2 linked regions of the Caenorhabditis elegans genome follow. The protein of the gene in region 1 interacts with the protein of each later gene in a pairwise test. Each region holds a gene or a part of one and is shown on either strand. Other genes may lie near its edges.

Region 1 (4,837 bases):
CGAGAAGCGCAGTTTGGGCGACATTTTGTTGCATTATCAAATAAAAACGGTTGTCTCTTCTTTTTTATTATCAACCAATGCAGAGCCAACATTCTACCAAATTGATAGTAATGCAAGTACTTGCCGTAGATTCCCTCAAACATTTGAGACAAAGGGCCTAAATAGTTTTAATTGTGAAACAAATTAGACACGACGTTCGAAGTTTATTCTGCAGTTTTGGTAATGCGTTGTAATTTTGATGTTAGTCTAGAAACAAATGTTTTCTTTTTGAAATTTTGCAATGTTCTTCAGAATATTTCAAGTATGAAATTTCTAAATTGTACTTCAAATCATTTCTAAAACTCGTAAAACATTCGGGCACTACAAAGTGTTCCTTTTCTACTTTAGTATCACAATGTTTCGCACATTGGTGATAAATGAGCCGGGGCTGTCTGCCGTTTCCGACTCCATTAACTTGGGTCCATTATCCCATCGTTTCACTGTGTTTCTATCACATTTATTGGGGGAACTTCCTGTTGCAACAAAACCAATAAATTCGAAAAGTGTCAGGGCCATGTGCTGTTGGACATCTATTCGTGAACATTTTCAAAATTTCGATTTGTTCCTTTCCAGTTTTCCATAGATTCAATTTTAATTGAAAAATGAATGGGTGGAAACTTGAATTTAAAAAAAAGGAATTTAATTCAATTTTCAACAAGTTCAAAAATATTTTTTCCAACGTTTTGTTAATTGATATTTTCCAGAACTTTCTAAATCAAGTTACATTTTTTTTGAAAGCTACAACCTATTTTGTAGTAATTTGGAAATTTCTTGGACCTCGTTGTGATAATTTCCATAAATTTTGCTTAATATTTTTTATTGGAAATCACGAGACTTTTTCACACAAAATAAAATCTTCCAGCTGATTTCCCTGGTCCAATCTCTTTTTTATCACTTTCACACCTATCTCTTCATATTTTCATATCTTCATAAATCTTCATAAAAATTCATAAAACAATATCTCCATCATAATTATCATCTTTTATTATTTTATCAGGTGTCGAAAAGAAACGAAAACTGTGTGAATGACATGATAATCCATCATCATCACAAGCTTCTCTTCCCAACTCTCTAGATTCTCCTCTCTCATCAGTATTATTGTTTATTAAGGCGGAGACTTCGGATTGGGGGGCAGATTTCGAGCATCTCACACTTTTCTATGTTTATCTTTTAATTTGCGAACATTTTTGCGGGCGATGGCTTGTTGTCCAGGGCATGAAATCCATGGATTTTTATTTGGATTTTCAAAAACTGGCCTAACAAATTTTATGGAAACCGTACTATACATAAGTAAAACATTTATGAAGTTTTTCGTGTGTTTCTACATTTTTATTAAAAACATTTTTTATTATCTTTAAAAGGATGTTTTACTGCTCGACACAATTTTCATAGATTTTTGGTAAACTAGGCTAGTTTTGAATTGAGTATATATTTTGCAAATTTTCTATCCTCAATATGACTTGAATTTCCGTTTCTTGACTTTGATCTCAACAGAAATCTCTTCTTGAAATTTATTTTCAGCTCCAATGAAACAACTAATCTCTTTTTCTTTGTTTTTCACGAAATTTTTCCTATTTTGTTCTACACACAAAAAATTGTATATACTTTTTCTATTTTTAAATTTTCACCTCATTTCGTTTTGATTAAGTATTTTTCCGTCTAAACTAAATTTTTCCAGATCCGTTTCTCATCCGTGATCATATTGCGCAGATGCGTAATTGATCGTCCACCCCTACCAGTACAGTATCCCACGTCTGGATACAAACTTCTCTGATTTTTTTATTTTTATTCCTGGACACCGAAAGTAACCCGAAAACAGGTTACGAATGGACGTAATGGACTCATTCTCGGAGGTCGAGATGCCCAATGATATATCATCGGAGGACCATCTTTTGAAGGTGAGGCAGAGCTTTAAATTTTACGAAAAAAAAATACTTTAAAATTTTCAACGCATTTTCTTGCATATTGAATTCATTTGAAAAGTAAAATTTCGTTAAAAGTAGGAGAAAAAAAATTAAAAGTTCGATTTCTTTATTCAAACCAAAGTAGAATGTAGTTTTTTTCTAAACCAAAACGAGCGAAAATAATTTTATTTTTCAAATCTATTTGATTATTGAAAGTGCCTTTTTGAAAAATGCTTGAGCATTTACCCTTGCGCCATCAATTGTTTGCAAAAAGCTGTCAAAAAGCCCGAGAGGCCGAGTTTTCAATTTTGGCGCAAAAAATCCCGAATTCCACGCTATCTTTTTTTTTCTTTCGATTGACTAAAGACGAACGGCTGAAGTTTTTTTTCGCTGTGCTTCAAAGATTTATAACTGGAGGTGGAAAGAGTTAGTGTCGCACATTCAAATTCCGCATCGTTTAGTTTTTCTTATCGAATGTTTTGATCTGGTGGGGGACGACGAAGTAAATTGAATTGAAAACTGTGGTTATCTTGAAAAGAAGTTTGAAGGAGAAAGTGTAAAACTATTGATGACGGGAGTTTAAATTTCAAGAGATTTTAAGACATTCCCATATTTCAGTGTGCGAAAATTTATCATTAAAAAATATTAATTATTTCTATGTGCTAAGTACATTTATTAGCAAAAAAGCGCAGAATCAAGTTCAGACAACATAATTATATTGATCTTCAGAGATTTTGCACATAATTTTGAGAGCCATTTTTCAGGAAAAACATAAAAGTTATCAAAATTGGTCCGCTAAATGATGTGTAAAACCTTTAAAATGCGATACTTTTTAATATTTAAAAGATTCGCATGAGAAATAATTGACTGACACCTTAGGTTCCTTGTAAAATATTTCATTGTATTATTAGTAAGTATAGGTATTTCCCAGATTTCCTTGTTAAGGTACCGCAAAGTCAACACATTCATGGACACCTTTTTTTGTTGACTTACCCCATATTTCTCTTTTTGTTTCCAAAAACAATATGCGGACCATTGAATCCTCACGCCATTCACACACATTCCCAGAGCGCGACTACTAGTAACTTTGTTTGGCAAAAGCTGTTAGTAAGAAGAGAATGATTCCGAGTGCCCAATACCATAAGTGTTTCTCGAGGTGCGCATCTCGGCAGTGAAGAGCAACTTGCAAGTTCGAGTGCATTTCTCCAAACTTGGTTGTTCCTACACAACGATTCCTGTGCCATGTTCCTTGATCCTCTCAATTTTGGCAATTGAATCGATTAACGTCAGGTTTACTCTTCGTTTTATTGCAAAGTGGGCCGCCCGGAAGGTCGAGAAATCGTAAATTGACTCGGAATTACCAATTTTACAGTCACACTGAAAGCAAAGCACTTCTTTTTGGTAGAGCGGGTGGCCATTGATTGTCGTTAAATCGTTTGTGAGGGTCATTTAGAAAAATGGGCGCATATTTTAATTTTTCAGAATAATTTTGACAATTTTAAATAATGAAAATAACAAATTACATTTTTTTGAAAATCTTGTTTCACCTTTTTTGGTTTTTTATTTGTATCAAATTATAAACTGTTTTATTAAATTGCACTACGCAGCTGTACAAGATCGAATTGCGCGTGTACAACCATCGTTAAAAATATCTCCTAGATATCTTTCCAGCTGTTACTTTGCCCATTTTAATGATCAATAATTTAATTTCCAGGTCATCGAATCGTCGGCTGAGGAAGTGGATATCTTTTTGGAGAACTGCTCCTCGCTCTACAATTTAATCCTCGACTCGTTGCACAACCTCACCTCAAAAGTAAGTCTTATTTGTTTTATTGCTTGTGTCGTTTGGTTGCCATGGATCAAGTGAAACTGGGAGAGTAATTAGGTGTAGCTGGCCTCAAAAGAACCTCCTGTTTTTCTCGATTTTCTTCTAGTTTTTCTTTGAACAAAGTTTTTTGCTTAGCCCTCTGATATCAAGATCAAGTTTTGCAAACTTGAGGCAGTTGTCCATTTGATTGAGCAAGAGATAGCAATAGTTTAAGGGGTCATCAATTATCAAAAAGAGAAACGTTACGAGCCTGTCAATTGAACACAAGCCTGGTACGAAAATATTACGGCAGATGTGGTGATGGATAACTGAAAACATTCACTTGACAAGCCTTTTGCCTGTGCTTTAGGGAATTTTTGAATCTTCCAAATACAGTTTTTACATAAAGTTTACCAGAATTAATTTCTGGTTGAAGTTTCAAGACTTGTTGATCTAGGAATGATAAATTAAAATAAACCCTTCCCATTCACAAAAACATAGCTAACTTATTCTTGCTCTAACTAGTAAGTTTTGTTCACTCCATGAACTACATCTAAATTTAAGCGGTTAATCATAGAGTAAACAACAAAAAAAAACCAATTTTTGAAGGTATAAAGTTGTACTTCTCAATATCCGATGATTAAAATTTTTAAAAAGAAAGTATCCTCAAATCGTTTGCTCTTTTTCAATGAGATAACAAATGACCACTGCAACTCATCTCTCTGTGCTTCTTATCCTCCCACACTCATTCAATATACTCACCCAATTTTTGTGGCAATTGCCGTTTGTTTGGAAGGTCACCCATTAATCAAATGTAGTTGGTTGATTGTGCAACCTCTACTACTAAACATTTTGATGAAGATCCTTCATTTTATCTGCCACTGACTCCTGAGAAAATGCCACACATTTCGATTCAATTAGCTTTCCTAAATTATTATACCAAATAGTATCGAATAACATCTCGCCCCCCGAACCACAGAAAAGTGGCCCCCAATAGTGTGCGCAGTTTTGCCGTTCCGAATGAAATTGGAGATTGTTGAGAACCAAGAGATAGATGGGAATTGAGTTGAAGTTATTGTTAGAAATT
Region 2 (7,934 bases), on another chromosome or scaffold:
TTAGTTCCAAGCGAAACACAATATTATTTTTCATACTGTAATACATATATTCGATTATTAATCAAAAATATTTTTTGTGTTGTTTAAAAAATTGTTTTTAAATTACAAGAAAAATTGCATGTCTGCAAAACTTTGATCGACTTCTGCAAATTTTTTAATAAGCTTCTACGAGTTTTACCCAACTGTTCTCTTGCATACGTAATTTAAATTTTTTCTCGTTTGATTTTTTTTTGTTATAATGACTAAAATGTTGTAACAAACCAATAAAAAAGAACACATAATAAAAATACCCAAAACAGAATTGGTTGGAAAAATATGCAATAGTTTGAAACATTACCCGAATTCTGAAAGGTTTTTAAAGTGAAGTAGCAAAATTTTTCAATTGATTGAAACATTAGAAAAGAGCCAAAACTTTCAAAAAATCTATACTTAGCGCTAAGACTGTCATTTTTTGTCGCAGCGTCTGGAAATGAATTGTTATAAAAGCATGATCAGTTATCACACTATTTTGTAGTATATTTTAAATTTATTGGAATACAAATGTTTCAAAATTTGAATGCCAGTAGAGTGCTTTAAACAATTCCGGAATAAAGACTCAAACTAGAAAATTAAGATGATAAATTGAAAAGTTGAAAAAAAGCCCGTTTCTAGATTTAGACTTTAGGAGAATGCGATTTTTAAAAATAATTTTCATCCGGCATAACTAAAAAATTTTCAAAATTTTCAAGAAATCACATTATGAAATTCGGCCATTTATGCTCATTTATAAACAATTGTAGTTAATTTTTGTACAATTTCTGTCGCTGAGTGCAAAAATAAGTAACCAAAGTCTTCAGAGCATTAAGGTAGTTTCGCCCAAAAATTTAAATTCTAGGTTTAAGCTTAAAACGAGAGCTATTCTTTGACAGTTATTACTCGCATGGTTAATATCAGTTCCTTGAAAATCAATCAATAACCCCAAAACCATATCATTTTATGTGACTAAACTTTCCTTCCAAAAAAAAAAGAAAAAAATGATCTGACTCATCAATTTCCGGTGATTTCCCCCGTCTTCCGTGCTCCACCCAGAACGGTTTGCGGAGGCATTAGAACAGTAGTCTCGCCCCGCATTTGTGTCGATTTTGGCTGCCGAGTGAACAAAAAAAACGAAACAGCACTCAATATTTGTGTCAGGTCAGCCACTCTTTCTTCCATTCTCTTCTATTTGTTTTTTGTTCATTTCTATTCCCTATTTCTCTCTATTCTCTTTAGTCCATTCTTCATTTCATAATTCTACTGAAACTAGTGTTACCTCTATCTCTAAACTCTCCTCTCAACCTGTACTATTTCTCTCGCGGGAGCCGAAAACGAAAACCTTATGAATATACAATTAGTTTTTCGACACCCTCTCCTAGTCGACAAAACGCAAATTTCCAAAATTGAACCTGTCGCACTAATATCTTGGAAATTTTGAAATTTACTTATTCCTGGTTTTGTTTAATTTTTGTTTTTAAAAGAAAATGTGGTCATTTGAGAACATTTTATTTAAATTTAAATTTTTAAATTTTTTCCTGTTTCAAATTGTAATTATTTCAACAATTTTTTAAAGGAATACTCAGTGAAGTATTTTTCCCCCTTTTTAAGTTATTTTCATGTTTGATATTTCCAACTCTCTAACATTTAAATTTCAGCAGCCACAATGGCTGAATCAGAATTGGAGAAGCTTCGTCAGGATATTGCAATCCTTACAGAAAAATATGAACAAGCCAAAGAAGATATTCATAAGGCAGCAAATGCGGGTTTAGAATTGCTCCGTCAAAAGGAAGATCTAGAGAAACGATTAGCAGAGATGCAGGCAGAATTGGATTTGGCAAGAACTGAAATTGATAAAACTAATCAGGTAAGTATTCGATTTCGAAAATAAAAATCGGAAAAAATATTGAAAAAAAATTAATGTTTCAAGTAAATGGTAAATATTCGAAATTTTTCGTACTATTTCATTTATTTTTAAAATATAAGCATGCAACTATCAAAAAAATTTTATTCAGACTTACGCAGGTAGGTAACAAAAATATAGGAAAATTTTTCACTTTTTTCGTTTTGTTGCAGTCATTCTTACCATTTTTTTTAAATATTTCATAAAATTTTGAACTGTAAAAATATAGAAAAATGAACAATCAACATTTTTGTCAGCTTACAATTTTTGATGAAGATGTATGAGCTGCCAAAATTGAGCTTAACAAAAGACTAGTAAAGTGTTAACAAAATTATTATTGAAGCTCAAGTTGTTCAAGTTGCTCTTATTTTCAGACTCTTGCTGAATACCGTTCCCAACATCAACGGTCCACTCGAAGTGAACTCGAAAATGAAGAATCTCTACTCGAGGAAAGTTCAGCAAAAGAAGAGGAATATCTACAGAGAATTGCAAAATTAGAAGCAGATCTTAAGAAAAAAGAACAAGAATTGGCAGAAAAGAAAGAAGAATTGGAAAGTATTGAAAAGAAACATTCGAAAGAAATCGATTCTGGAGCTGCATTAGAAGATGAAAGAAGAAAACTTAGAGCTGAATTAAAAGAAACAAAAGAAAGAGAACAAAGATTAATTTCTGAATATTCAGAGTTAGAAGAAGAAAATATTGGATTACAGAAGACTGTTGCAAATTTAAGAGGAAGTCAAGTGGAATATGAATCATTAAGAATTGATAATAATCGATTGGAAGAGACTATTGAAATTATGAAAATGGCTGCAGAGGAAGATGAAATATTAAGAGTTATTGCTGACAAACAGGTGAGACACTTTGAAAAATTACAACTCTCTCAGAAACTTTAACAAGTTTTCCTAAAAATATGTGAATAATTTCAAACATTTCCCTATTTGTTTGGAATTGCAACTGCAAAAACATTATGAAATTTTCATGTCTATTCACTATTTATTTTTGATCACGATTTGAATCGTAATAAATACAATACAATACAATACAAAATTTATTAGGTGATTGAAACAGTAAAAAAAACGAAAACTAGACAACTTTTATTTTAATTTTATAACCTGTTATTATTATTTTATAGCTCCCGTTTTTCATTGAAATTTTTGAACGGGTCGCCTCAATGTATATTTTCAAAACCTCAATTTTTGTATGAAAAACTTTCCAACTTATCATAAATATTTCAGCTCGAAGAAGCTCTGCTCACAGCTCAACAAGAACGGGATCAGCGATTGGCAATGAAAAGAGAATTAGAACAGACAAGAAATGCAGAGCATATCAGTAGTTTAAATGATATGCTTTTTGGATTGGAAAGGCTTGGGGAGGTTTGTTTTTTTTGTTAAAAAATTAAAACAATTAACTTTTAATAAAAGTTTGTTTTCCTATTTTAAAAGTTCCTGTGAAATTTTGTTAAAACACTTATATACAAAATGTCTTTTGTATACGTGAATTTTAAAAATACATTTGATAACTGATAATTTGAAACTAAACTTAACAAGTTGGGAAGAAAAAATTGCTCTTAAAGAAAAATGAGCTTCACATGTTTCGTATTCAATTTATATTGGCCAAGAGGAGTGTTGTAGGCTTGTTCTTTCGGTATCGATTTTTCTATTATTTAGTCAAATGTTATTTTAATATTTCTGTGTTCAAAAGGCGCATGAAATGGCAGAAACACTTGAATTAATTGTTGAATGAAAGTGTGGCACATGCTTTTAACGGACCACACGCTCAACACCAAACATTTTTGTATAAATCTTATGAAACAGTAATTTTTTAGGACGGCGAACTGCCACCTCCACAACCTGGAGCAAGTGACCTCTTCAGTGAATTACAAGGATCAAGTGATGTAAAAGTTCGTGAACTGGAAGCTGCAAAGGAAGGACTTCAAGAAGAATTAAAGAGCAGAGAGAAGATTTTCATCGAATTTGTAACCGGATTAGCAGACACCCTCAATATTCATAGACCAACAAGTGAGTTTAAATAGAACATTTCAGTTTGATTTGGAGTGTGATAAACCATTGAAGACATGGTGAAAAGTTATAACATTCAATTTTCACCAAATTTTTCAATGTTTCACATTCATTTCATATTGGTCAACGGTAGTATTGGAGTCTAGCGTAGATGTATGTAGTTTTTCAGAGTTTTCAGGGTTTTGGGTGAATAAAAGCTTCGCAAATTTCCTTTAAAATGAATATTTTATCATATTTACAATTAGTTATATTCAAAATTATTCAATTTTTAAAAAATTAGTTCCCCCGTGCATTCCCTAACAAAGTTTTCTTTACAGATGAGCTCGACTACATGCATGCTCGTCAACAAAAAGACGTTGTACTAGAGAAAATCCAGAACATTGCTCGTGACACTGACCGTCATGATAAAGAAGGAGAAGAAAAACGATCGGGAATTTTGAAGGCTGATTTGAGGACACTTGTATTGGTTGCTGGAGAGAAAAGTGCTCAGTTGGCAGCTGCTCAAGTTAGTTTTTGAATTAAATCATAAAAGTTTCATATTGCGAACCAAATTAAGAACATTATGAAAATGTAAATGTTGAAAATTCAGGACGCAATGATTCAAGTCTCCGATCAACTTTATCAATTCTACCATCAAATGACACAGAACCAAGGAGTTCAAACAGAAAAGAGTGTACAAGAGGTAAATTTTATTTTAATATTTATAGAAAATGAACAGAACTTTGTATATTTCAGATTGTGAAAAAGTTGCGTCTATTGGCTCGTGCCAATGCAGAAGACGTTCCACGTGTCTCGTTGGCAGATGAAGGAGTTGAAAGTGGAACAGAGACAGATGTTAATGCATCAAGATCAATTCCATTGAATTCCGATCGTCTTGTTATTGCGCCAAGTTTTGCGAAGGAAATTGAGAAAAAGTTGGCAAGTGTCAAGATTGGCGATGTGTTGTCAGAGACTGATTTGAGGCAAAGAATACTTACTGGTTTGTTTAGTTTTTGAATCGCAAAAAAGAGCTGGATACAAAACTTTTCCAAAAATGTACAAGTTTTAGAGAAGATGCTACAATTAAAAAAAACAACGAGATTTTACGAAAGACAAATAAAATTACTGTTTCAACCAACTTTTATCATAAATTGGGTTTATATTAGCTATTTGAGTCGAGGTTTCAACACTACATTGAATTTACTGTACTTACTGTATACTTAGTATACTTAGAATACTTACTGGTTTGTTTTTGAATCGAAAAATTCAAAAAAAGAGCTTTGCCAAAAGACAATTCTTCTTCAAATACTTCATTTGGTTGAAAATATTTGGAATGTCTAGCAATATTTAAATCGATTAATAGAAGCAGGAAAAATTTATTTTTTATTCGAATTAAATTTTTCAAGAATAATTATTAGTTTTAGAGAAGTTGCTGAAATAAAAAAAATTTTGGAAGATAAATAAAATTACTGTTTCAACCAACTTTTTTTTTCCATAAATTGGAATTCTATGAGCAGTATGTTTTTCAATATTGCATTGAATTTACTACTTTGTATCAAACATTCATTTAAGGTTTGATGGCGTTAAATTTAAAGAGTGATTAAGACTCTTGATATTAAACGTTACAACTTTCAATTTGCCAATATACATCTCATTCTCACATTCGAATATATTAAATACATTATTTTCAGAAGGAAATGCCATTTCCGAAACCACAGAATCGTTGAAAAAGATGATTCAAGTGGTGAAAAGAACCTCTGAACAAGCATTCAATCAAGCAGTTATGGCAAGTGGAGCTGAAAATGAAATTGAAATGCAGAATATGAAATTGCGAAGTCTTTTATCAACAAAACGAGATCAGATTTCAACGCTTCGAACTGTTTTGAAATCGAATAAGCTGACTGCTGAAAGTGCATTGACTTCAATGAGAGAAAAATATGAATCAGAAAAGAAAATGATGATGGAAATTAATGATAAAATGAGAAGAGAATTGAAACAATTGAAGGAAGATGCTGCCACGTTTGCATCTCATAGGGCAATGTTCACTGCAAGAGGAGAGGAACTCAAGTCAAAGGTATTTAGTTTTGTTTTGAAACAGTTAGGAATTTCTAATTTCGGGAAAAGTATAGCTTTTATAATATGACATACGGTAGCTCTGTTTAATTACTAATTCAAACATTTCCATTCCAGATTCCCTATTACAAAATAGATATACTTAAATTGTATCTGTAGTAGTTGAAACAGAAACTATTTTTAATATTTAAACTTTTTAGGGTTATTAACTTTTACTTTGAATTATTTTTCTCGTTGGAAAAAAAATCGTTTTCTCAAAATTTACAAATTTTTATTTGGAGTCAAGTTTCTGACCTGGCAGCTTAATGAAAATTTCTCAAGTTAGTTGCTTTCTCAACAGCTAAACGTTAACAGATATTGACTATAGTTTGACAGAAGTTGTCAAGTTTTTAAAGAAAGTTTCCCCCAAATGCCGAGTTGATAGATGCGATCATCTTCTAATTAAAACTTTCCGTAAATGAAATTACTGTTTCACAAAGGATTTATTTTGAATTGAACTTCATTTTAAGTTGATAGTCATAGGGGTATATCTAACCATTTTCTCACTTCTATTGTATCTGTAGCAGTTGAAACATACTTTTTTTTTAATTTTCATCTTCGTACAGTTTGTTTACTTTGAATTATTTTTAACATTTAAAACTCGATTTGTTTTTTACTTGAATTTAGTGTCTGAACTCTGAATTTGAAAAAAACATATGGTCAAAACGCAATATTTTATCACTTTAATCGTATCTGGAGTAGTATCTTCTGTAAATTTTAAAATCAAATTTAACAATTTTCCAGGTGGAAGAACTATCAAACGAGTTGCGTGCAAATGAAGAGGAAAAGAAGACATTAAATCAACTTCTTCGTTTAGCAATTCAACAGAAGCTCACATTGACTCAACGTTTAGAAGAGGTTGAAGTTGATCGGGATAGGCAGGTATTTAAGAGGAGTAGTACAAGAGCTCCAACTAGAGAGGTGAGATATTAAAGGTGTAGTATCGTCCAATGTGACGTCTTTAATGGAATCACTGATTAAAAACCATAAAAATTAAAACAGTCTTTTTTTTAAAAATTTTTTTAAAAATAACTTTTTTAAAGTTCTTTATGACCCATTTTCTCTAATTTGAAGAAAAATCTCAACAGACGATACTCCGCCTTTAATTATGTTCACTGTTTCAAAACATTCACAAAAAAATGTTGAAATTTCAAAAAGCAATGATTTTTTGATATACAGAACACATTGGAAGGCGGATTGTTTCTTTTGGGGAATTTTTTCGAAATTTATTTGATATGCCAAGAATAACAAAGAAAAAACGAAAAAAATTGGAAAATTTAGTTTAAAACGATAAAAAAAACCTTTTAACAAAGACACAAATCTTTCGCCAAACGTACAAAACTGCCTTTTTAATATGACAATCCAATCTTTTTAAATCTTCAATTGATTGGTATGGAAATGCAGAAAAAACTTTAATTTTGGTGAAAAGCTTGAAAAAATCTTGAAATAGTGCTCGAAAGTTGAAGTTTTGCCAAAAAACTTTACGCACTTTTAGCTACAAACGGCAATTTTCAAGCACTATGTTATGATTTTCTGGAAAAGTTTTCGACAAAATTAAACTTTTTCTTACTTTGAAAAATCCAAAAAAATTGTTTTTTTCTTCTAGAAGTTAATTTAATCTTCTCCGTTTTCAGACCTACCAGCCACCGAGAGCAGTTCGTTATCCGGGTTCAACAACAACAGCTCAACAGCCAGCACCTTCATCTTCGGGGGGCTCGAGGGGAGGGCCACGCAGGGGAGACAATCAGCAATAAGCTGGTGGTCAGGTGATGACGTGACAACGATGAGAAGACGACGAACACCTACACCAGAGGATCCAAATGATCAAGAATCAATTAATACACAAAACCACGTCATCACCACGTGGCCCTACGACCTGAAAAATGAAGAAGATCCCCAATTATTGATTG

Evidence for each region.
Region 2: the proteins of unc-83 (region 1) and bicd-1 interact in a two-hybrid assay, tested with the Caenorhabditis elegans proteins (one study listed by BioGRID).

Annotation. Positions count from the first base shown.
Region 1 is NC_003283.11:6,463,348-6,468,184, forward strand, and holds the start of unc-83 (Nuclear migration protein unc-83), read left to right. Parts: upstream 1-1,717; 5' UTR 1,718-1,865; coding exon 1,866-1,937; intron 1,938-2,086; exon of another isoform or gene 2,087-2,286; intron 2,287-3,039; exon of another isoform or gene 3,040-3,220; intron 3,221-3,657; coding exon 3,658-3,756; intron 3,757-4,617; exon of another isoform or gene 4,618-4,826; intron 4,827-4,837. UniProt on the Caenorhabditis elegans protein: Cargo-specific adapter that is involved in nuclear migration during development and thereafter.
Region 2 is NC_003282.8:6,566,073-6,574,006, reverse strand, and holds the start of bicd-1 (Protein bicaudal D homolog), read left to right. Parts: upstream 1-1,670; 5' UTR 1,671-1,678; coding exon 1,679-1,879; intron 1,880-2,289; coding exon 2,290-2,766; intron 2,767-3,150; coding exon 3,151-3,288; intron 3,289-3,548; exon of another isoform or gene 3,549-3,569; intron 3,570-3,662; exon of another isoform or gene 3,663-3,683; intron 3,684-3,740; coding exon 3,741-3,933; intron 3,934-4,250; coding exon 4,251-4,438; exon of another isoform or gene 4,439-4,456; intron 4,457-4,522; coding exon 4,523-4,615; intron 4,616-4,668; coding exon 4,669-4,912; intron 4,913-5,081; exon of another isoform or gene 5,082-5,103; intron 5,104-5,603; coding exon 5,604-5,986; intron 5,987-6,089; exon of another isoform or gene 6,090-6,110; intron 6,111-6,493; exon of another isoform or gene 6,494-6,519; intron 6,520-6,768; coding exon 6,769-6,945; intron 6,946-7,185; exon of another isoform or gene 7,186-7,206; intron 7,207-7,658; coding exon 7,659-7,778; 3' UTR 7,779-7,934. UniProt on the Caenorhabditis elegans protein: Part of a complex with dlc-1 and egal-1, which is recruited to the nuclear envelope by unc-83, where in turn, it recruits dynein to the nuclear surface and regulates nuclear migration in hypodermal precursor cells.